Drosophila melanogaster: one gene and its partner. The protein of the gene in region 1 interacts with the protein of each later gene in a pairwise test. Each region holds a gene or a part of one and is shown in the gene's direction. Other genes may lie near its edges.

What was found.
Region 2: the proteins of Uqcc1 (region 1) and Ogdh interact in a two-hybrid assay, tested with the Drosophila melanogaster proteins (one large-scale study listed by BioGRID).

What each region holds. Positions count from the first base shown.
Region 1 is NT_037436.4:6,956,256-6,960,003, reverse strand, and holds Uqcc1 (Ubiquinol-cytochrome c reductase complex assembly factor 1), read left to right. Parts: upstream 1-1,895; 5' UTR 1,896-1,982; coding exon 1,983-2,039; intron 2,040-2,152; coding exon 2,153-2,341; intron 2,342-2,400; coding exon 2,401-2,652; exon of another isoform or gene 2,653-2,719; coding exon 2,720-3,001; 3' UTR 3,002-3,056; downstream 3,057-3,748. Other genes in the region: Surf1 (surfeit 1), read right to left, coding at 483-864, 921-1,115, 1,178-1,299, 1,368-1,571; CG9948 (uncharacterized protein), read right to left, coding at 3,057-3,550, 3,607-3,748. UniProt on the Drosophila melanogaster protein: Required for the assembly of the ubiquinol-cytochrome c reductase complex (mitochondrial respiratory chain complex III or cytochrome b-c1 complex). May be involved in cytochrome b translation and/or stability.
Region 2 is NT_037436.4:16,953,220-16,957,145, forward strand, and holds the start of Ogdh (oxoglutarate dehydrogenase), read left to right. Parts: upstream 1-1,602; 5' UTR 1,603-1,660; coding exon of another isoform or gene 1,661-1,723; 5' UTR 1,724-1,824; intron 1,825-2,106; exon of another isoform or gene 2,107-2,108; 5' UTR 2,109-2,323; exon of another isoform or gene 2,324-2,372; intron 2,373-2,544; exon of another isoform or gene 2,545-2,594; intron 2,595-3,805; exon of another isoform or gene 3,806-3,926.

The sequences.
Region 1 (3,748 bases):
CTCTGTCAGTTTTAAGTGAAAAGTAAAGTTGAATTCTTGCATTTTGTATATTAGTTTCTAAAGGATATAAGCTTTTAAAACATTTCTGTATATAACTAGAAAGCGAATTACTTATTTGAACAACATAAGGCAATGATTGATTAACCACAAAGTTATAAAACGTAGTAACTATTTTTGATCAGACAATATAATATTATGTAGCTTTCCCCATATCGACCCAAACTAACGAGTGTGTTTCTAAATAGTTAAAGTATTCAACTAGGCACACCCGCAAGGGAAACCCTCGAACCGTATTTGTATTCATATTCCTATTCCTATTCCCCTGTCGATCCGCCACTCGAGGATCGGTAGTTGCAATATTAAGTCCCAGCAGGACAATAATCCCCTCCTGCGGCGGGCCAATAAAAACCAGCATTTACACGAGAGCATGTAAATTTTTATAATAAAAATAACAACAGTGCGTTTGATTTGGGTTCCCTTTTTCAGAAGGGTATCCTCTTGACTATTTGGCGGTACCACAAAAAGGAGGTGGCCGCCGATAGACTGAACCAGGTCACCAGGTACGACAGATGATCGTTGCGCAGGGTAACGCGTGTCTGTCCACCGATTGGAGCATGTGCAGCCGTTTGCGGATCGTAGACGGCGTCCAGGAACACAGGAGCTGCTCCTGTGGCGGCGCACATGCGCGCCAAGTCGCGATAGAGATAGACATTGCCCTTGTGGTCGGGTGTGAACTGCGGACGCGCCTCTCCTTTGCGCACGACGGCGGTGAGCTCCACTTCCGCCTGTTGTTGGCCCAGCGGCCTGGTTTCCGGCTCCACTTGCTTGCGGGACACCCAGCCCCGATTGACGAGCACTATGTCGCTGGGGGCGAAACGATATTAAGATGATTCTATGGGATTTCCTTGAGCACAACTTACTCTCTATCTGCCAGCTGAAAAGGGGTTACTATTAGATAGCCATTGCCCGAGTCGCGCTGCGAGAAGAGTCCTCCTTGGGTTTCCACGCCATCGGGCCGTATCAGCGATCTCGGACCCAGGCGCATCTCCTTGTCGTGAAGGAAACGTCCACGGATCTTGACCAGGCGGTACTCCATTTGGGCCAAGTCAGTGAGACTACAGGAGGGAATACACTATAGTGGGTGGGTATATAGTGGAGAATATGTGGGCAAACCTACTCGTCTGGTAGAGCCACAGGCGCCGTGCTCAGCTGCTTGTTGAGATCCTTGATCAACTGCTCCTTCCAAATCTTGCGCTTCACTTGCCAGCAGCCCAAGCCAAAAGTGGTGGCCGGTATGAGCTGGGGATTGGTTAATGGACAACAAGGATTAGTTGTGTGTATAGGTAGAGGAGTTGGTGTCTACCCACCAGGAGGAACCATCCCAAAGGAGCTATCTTCTCCTTGTCCTTCGCCGCCTGATTGGGAATACTGGTTGTCCAATTCACCGGCGGTCGCTGTTGTGTCATCTTTCTGGTGATTAATCTCGGATTGTTCGCGGTGCCCGGGTTTCGGAATACAGTCTGTATATTAAAGGCCACTTGCCGGCACATTTGGTTCCCCAAACGTATCATACTTTCTTTTATTTTGCTCTAAATTTTCTATTTATTTATTTATTTACATTTCCAACTGGAAGTTGATAGTAAGACCGTTTTGCACTGTTATGAACGGATAATAACTTCATGCGGTCACACCACTTCCGAATGTAAGCTCTTCTTGATTTTATGAATTAAGACTGCAAAGGTTTAAAGTATATAAAAAATAAAGTAATAGTTATTACTTTTCACATGCAAAAAAAAAAACATTTTTCTTTCTTTACAAAGATTTGTATCTGTTACTGTTAATCATATGTTAGCAAGTCACTGTTAACATGTCGTTATACCCAAGTTGGCAGCCCCGTTACGATCAGCTGTTTTAGTCTGTTGTCGCGTGCAATTGGATTTTTTAAACGATTTTGTTTTAGTAAATTTAGGATACATTTAAGAATGCAGTGCACTCGTGCAGTTGCAAGACTGGCCGGCGGCCTAGCGAGAACCGCATGGGTATGTTTAAAGCAGGGGTTGTACTTTATTTAGTCAAAACACGGTCATCCGAATGCACCGCCATCAACTCTTATATAAACGGATATAAAATTTTTAAATTAAACATATTATAGGCAACACAACATACGTATAAGCACAGGCCAGCGATACTGGGACTGCTGGAGCAGCCATGCCGCTTGTGTTCATCCACCGGCGTTGTGGATAATACCAATAAAACGAAACCCGGCACAGCGGAAGCCGCAGAAGGCGGTATTCTGAAGAGAGTGCTCAACAAAGTGGGCTTCACACCGAACACAAAGGCGGTAGGACTCGGATTACTTTGCCCATTTGATTAATATTCATCGAAGTGATCCCATTTCAGCGCCTCAAGGTAACCAGTCATCTGCTGTACGAAAGCGTCGCCGACAAGATCAACTATGTGACCTTTTTCCGCGACTTCAATCTGCCCAATACCTTTAACTCCTGGTTCTTGGTCACCGAACTGCATGTTTGGCTACTCCTGATGCGCTCCATGGCCGAGGGCTCCGAAACGGGCGAGGATGGACGCTTCCTGCGCAACTGCATTGTGGAGGCGATGTGGGGAGATGTTAACACACGCGCCAAGAAATTGGGAGTAGGTTTTACTTTAGTTCACCTTTATATATATAATCTTTATGCTCTTCATATGTGTTTCCCAACAGGCTCACAATCCTTCACGCACCCGTCAGCAAATCGAGACCTTATCCGAGCAGTTCCAAGCGGCCCTAATCGCCTACGACGAGGGCATCATGTCCGACGATCGGGTTTTGGCCTGCGCCTTGTGGCGCCGCTTCTTCGAGATGAACTGTGATGATTACGCGCAGATCGAGCGACTGGTGAAGTACGTCCGCCAGCAGGCCAGCATGCTGGACAGTTTGCCGCGCGATCAGTTCATTGTCAAGCCGAAAGTGGCATGGTTGGAATTGGACAAGTGCAAGGTTTAATCTTAGTTATATTCTGTTTTTTAAAAATAAAGTTTGAGAGTATGTGAACTGGAAACTAGATGCTAAGGTCCTCCACGGACTGATTACTCAAGGCACGCAGCTGGCACTTGAGCAGAAATGCTGTAATCCTTCGTTCTGCCCTTCTCCGCTGCGGTTCCTTTAGTTGGGCCAGTATTTGGTCCATCTGGAGAAAGCTGCTTCTGGGCGAGATTATTTCAGCGGGCTCTTGTTCCTCGTAGATGATTTCCTCTTGGATGATCTGTTCACTGGGCTCCTCGATGACCTCCTCGATTATGAACGTACTCGACTGCTGTGGAACATCCCCATCCTCAAAAGTGTCCCACAAAAATTGCACAGGAGTTTCCGTCTGGATGGTCGCCTCCTGTTTGTTTGTTTTGGGTTTGGTTTTCACTTTGGAGGGCGGCTGGATCTCGGCCAAAAATCGCAGGCGTTCCAGGTACGGCCAGGTGGATCCACTGGTGTCCGCGCGGCGAAACTCCTTGCGAAACTGATAGTGCAGATTGTTCCAGCGCATCAGGCAGAAGTCCACTAAGAGGATTATAACTTTAAATATATATATCTTATTCTTTTATTAGCTGACTTACCATCACAGCCCATCATCTCGGCTATGCGAGCCCAGATATCGGTTTTCGCCTTCATGGCATCGTAGTTCGAGAGTCCAGATCTCTTATAGAGCACAGGATTGGGTTCCACCAGATCAATTAGCTTGAAGTCGAAAGGTCTGTT
Region 2 (3,926 bases), about 10 Mb from region 1:
AGAGAACCTAGTAATTCCAGGAAAACGGTCAGGTACGGAACTTAAGGAGGTGTATACACTGTTAACAGCCAGGGGTTTATTCATCGACGATAAATTGATCATTAGTGCAAAAGTGCCTCTGTTTAGCAGGCATCCATCCAAATTGTTCAGGCTTATTCCGGTGCCAATTCGAAATGAAGATCGGATAATAATGGTGCATACAACGTCCGAATATTTAATTTATAATTTTGAGATAGATTCCTATCACATAATGACGGAAGCCACATTAAATCAATGTCAGAAATGGCAACTAAATAAGAGAATATGCAAAGGAAGTTGGCCCTGGAATTCAGCGAATGATAATGCATGTGAGATTCAGCCTCTAAAGCCAGATAAAGCGGCGAACTGCATCTATAAAACAGTAGTCGACTCTAAAAGTTACTGGGTAGAGTTAGAAAAGAAAAGTAGTTGGTTGTTTAAGGTTCCTGCGAATTCAAAAGTCCGTCTGCAATGTACTGGCTCTCAAATTGAATTGTTTGATTTGCCTCAGCAAGGAGTTTTAAGCATTGCGCCATATTGTACGGCAAGAACCGACGATAAAATTCTAGTTGCCCACCATAACATTCAGTCCGAAAGTGAAGAATTATTATCAACACCTTATATAGGAGAAGTTAGTGGAGTGCCGAAGATTATTTGGGATCCGCTGAAACTATCAATATTAAATCATACTGAGGAATTTGAACGATTGAATAATGAAATTAAATTTATGAAAGAGAACCATCAAAAATTGAAAGATTTACATTTCCATCATATTTCCGGACATGCTGGATTAATTATTGCTTTAATACTAATGATAGTATTAATAATATATTTCATACGGAAATGTGCTGTGCAACAAAGAATGCAAGCAATAACCTTTGCAGGTCCGTTGCCAGTACTATAAATATCAATAGTAAATAAACAATAAAATAATATAACAAATAAAAATATACAGTCCACTAATAGAAAATGTACTTCTACATAGAAAAAGCAAAATGTTTAAAATAAGTTAATTAAGTACAAATTGTTGAATTAAAAATAATATAAACCATAATTGTAATCCAATAAAATTAAAAGCCAGAAAAACTAGGCCCATTGAAATCTTAGTTGCAAAATAAATGAACATATATCAAATAAATACAGTCCACTACTGTTATAAATGCAACTAATATACTAATGTACATCTCAGCTTTGCTGGCCCTTTGGCAGAATGTTCACACATGAACACGAATATATTTAAAGACTTACAATTTTGGGCTCCGTTCATATCTTATGTAAATGAATCGAGAGCGATAAATTATATTTAGGATTTTGTTATCTAAGGCGACATGGGTGCATTGCTCAAAAACATGTAATTTAAGTGCACACTACATGAGTCAGTCACTTGAGATCGTTCCCCGCCTCCTAAAATAGTCCCTTAGTGGGAGACCACAGATAAGGTCCTCGCCGCTCAAGATAGGCAGATGTGCCCGAGCGTGGGACCTCGATAAGGCGGGGACTATTTACGTAGGCCTCTGCGTAGGCCATTTACTTTAAGATGCGATTCTCATGTCACCTATTTAAACCGAAGATATTTCCAAATAAAATCAGTTTTCTTACAAAAACTCAACGAGTAAAGTCTTCTTATTTGGGATTTTACAATGTCTTTGACTGTATATCGGACCAAATTACCGGCTACTGTCTGGATCAATACAGCAGATATTAGTCTCTGTCTAGTGTGCGTAGCAATTAAATGGTTTAGTGCAAGTTGAATTCCAGTTTTTGTGTCAGGCCGCGACTATTGCGACTATTCCTGAGAAAAACAATGTAGGTGGCTTCAAACATTGTTGGAAATTACTAAACATATGTTTCTCGCTTTTCTTTTGAAAATTTCGTTTCAATGTTTCTTAAATAACTTGATATGATTTCACGGATATTCAAAATGGAAAAGTGTCAAGCAGAAGTCAACCCAATCGTGGTTACAAAAAAATAATAATAATAAAATAATAATAATAATAATAATATCTTGAACCTATATTATTAAATTAAAGGTATCAAATGGTTTAAGTAGATTACGGAAAAATTTTGAATTCTTTACATATTACTTACAGACTTTTTACATCGCGCCTTTCATGATCTTCCACAGTGGCGCCATCTGCAGTCGCATAGGAATAAGCTCTGTATGCTAGTGTTACCGCTCACCAAAACTGTAAAAATAATCGATATCTGGCACAAAACGATAGCGTTTCGATATGTTTGAGAGTCCAGGCCGTGCGCTAGCATTAACAGTCCCACCACTAACGCAAAAGTTTTCGGCTGTAAAAACGTAAATATTTAAACTTTAAGCAAGTTTAGTGTAAAAATAATCAAATCATGTGCGTTAATTTGCAAAAAGTCTGCGGGGCTATGGTCCATTTAGACTTAGTACTGGATTCAGCGGAAAACTCGCATTTCGCGTGCTTTTCACTTGTCCCACATTCGAGGTCCGCTTTTGCATCATGTGGAATTCCAGGAATTACCATCATCGTTTCAGCGATCAATGAGACACTGCCGCGTGTTCCCCTTTCTAAAAAGTGCATTTAGCAGGCATTTGATTGGTATTTTCCAACGTTTTTCCCCATTTAATTTCAAGGACTGTTCTTATATAATTGGAAAAGTGCAGGTGGGCGTCTCGTCGGCGGAAAAGCGCTTGCGCCGGCCGCCCCAAATGAAAAGTGAAATTTCGCAATGCAAAACAAGCGACGTCGGCGACGTCACATGTGGTTTTTTGTAAAATTAACTTGCCGCATTGATGACGCAATTGACCGAGTGCCGCGTGTGCTTTTCTCCCCGCCGCCCAATGAATCATCAATCAAAAGCAATGGCAATAGCAACAGCAAACCGCAAAGAAAGCGCGCGGCCGCATTGTCTGGGGCAGCACAACTAGTTATTTTTTTCTGCTGACGGATGTGGATCATCTGCCACAACCTATCATAAGTCGGCTGCAAAGGCCCCAGATCGGGAATAGTAACCACAAAAGTATTATAGTACTACGGAACCTCTACCTCCCCCTCGCACCCCGCTCCGCAATTACTTCATGCCCTTGGACCGCTCTTCTTCTTCTTCGCCTAGAGGGGGCTCGTCCAGGGTTTTTTTTTAATGGAATGCAAAACCCCACTGAGTGCGTCTCTCTTGCCTTCTTATACCCTTTTATAGGGTATCATGGCAATTTAATGTTTTACGCCAACTACGATAATAGCTTTTATTCAGTCTTAGACTAATTGGTACACTGATATCTACATAGTTATCATTCGATAGTCAAATTACCATTTCCGCTATTTTTTAGAGCAACATTAAAATTTACATTTTGCCACAAAAACCAAATAATAGTTTTTTATATAACTTTCTACATTATACATTTTTTTCGATAGAAAGTTAAACTATTAAATACTATAAAATACAACAATTCTAAAATAACTAAGAGTATCTAATGATCGGTGCCTCTTGAGTGTTCATTAATTTCGCACTCGCATCAAGGTAAATGGTTGTGTCTGGTGTGTGAACTTGAAACTTTATTGATTAGCGGAAAGGTAATTGATACACGCACAAATTCACTTGCGCTTGACCTATTAAATGCACTGTGAAAAATATGTTAAGAAATTGTTAAGATGTGATTCTGGATAGTGTACCAAATTTAATTTGAGTTGAGAAATCTTTTAGATATACAAACATTTTGTATTTTAATATTGTTTCTCGTTGTCTTTGGTATTATGTGATAAACAAGTTCTATGAATGTATTATACATTTTATTTTTTTGTGTATATCATACCGCTTTTTCTCTCCTCTCGTTTTTGGCTGTGTGGGCGGCATTCTTTGAAATGCCGGCTGACGAACGGACTTTGGGATTGTTGTAAACAAATTCGGGCTATAAATACGCAAGACATGGGCAA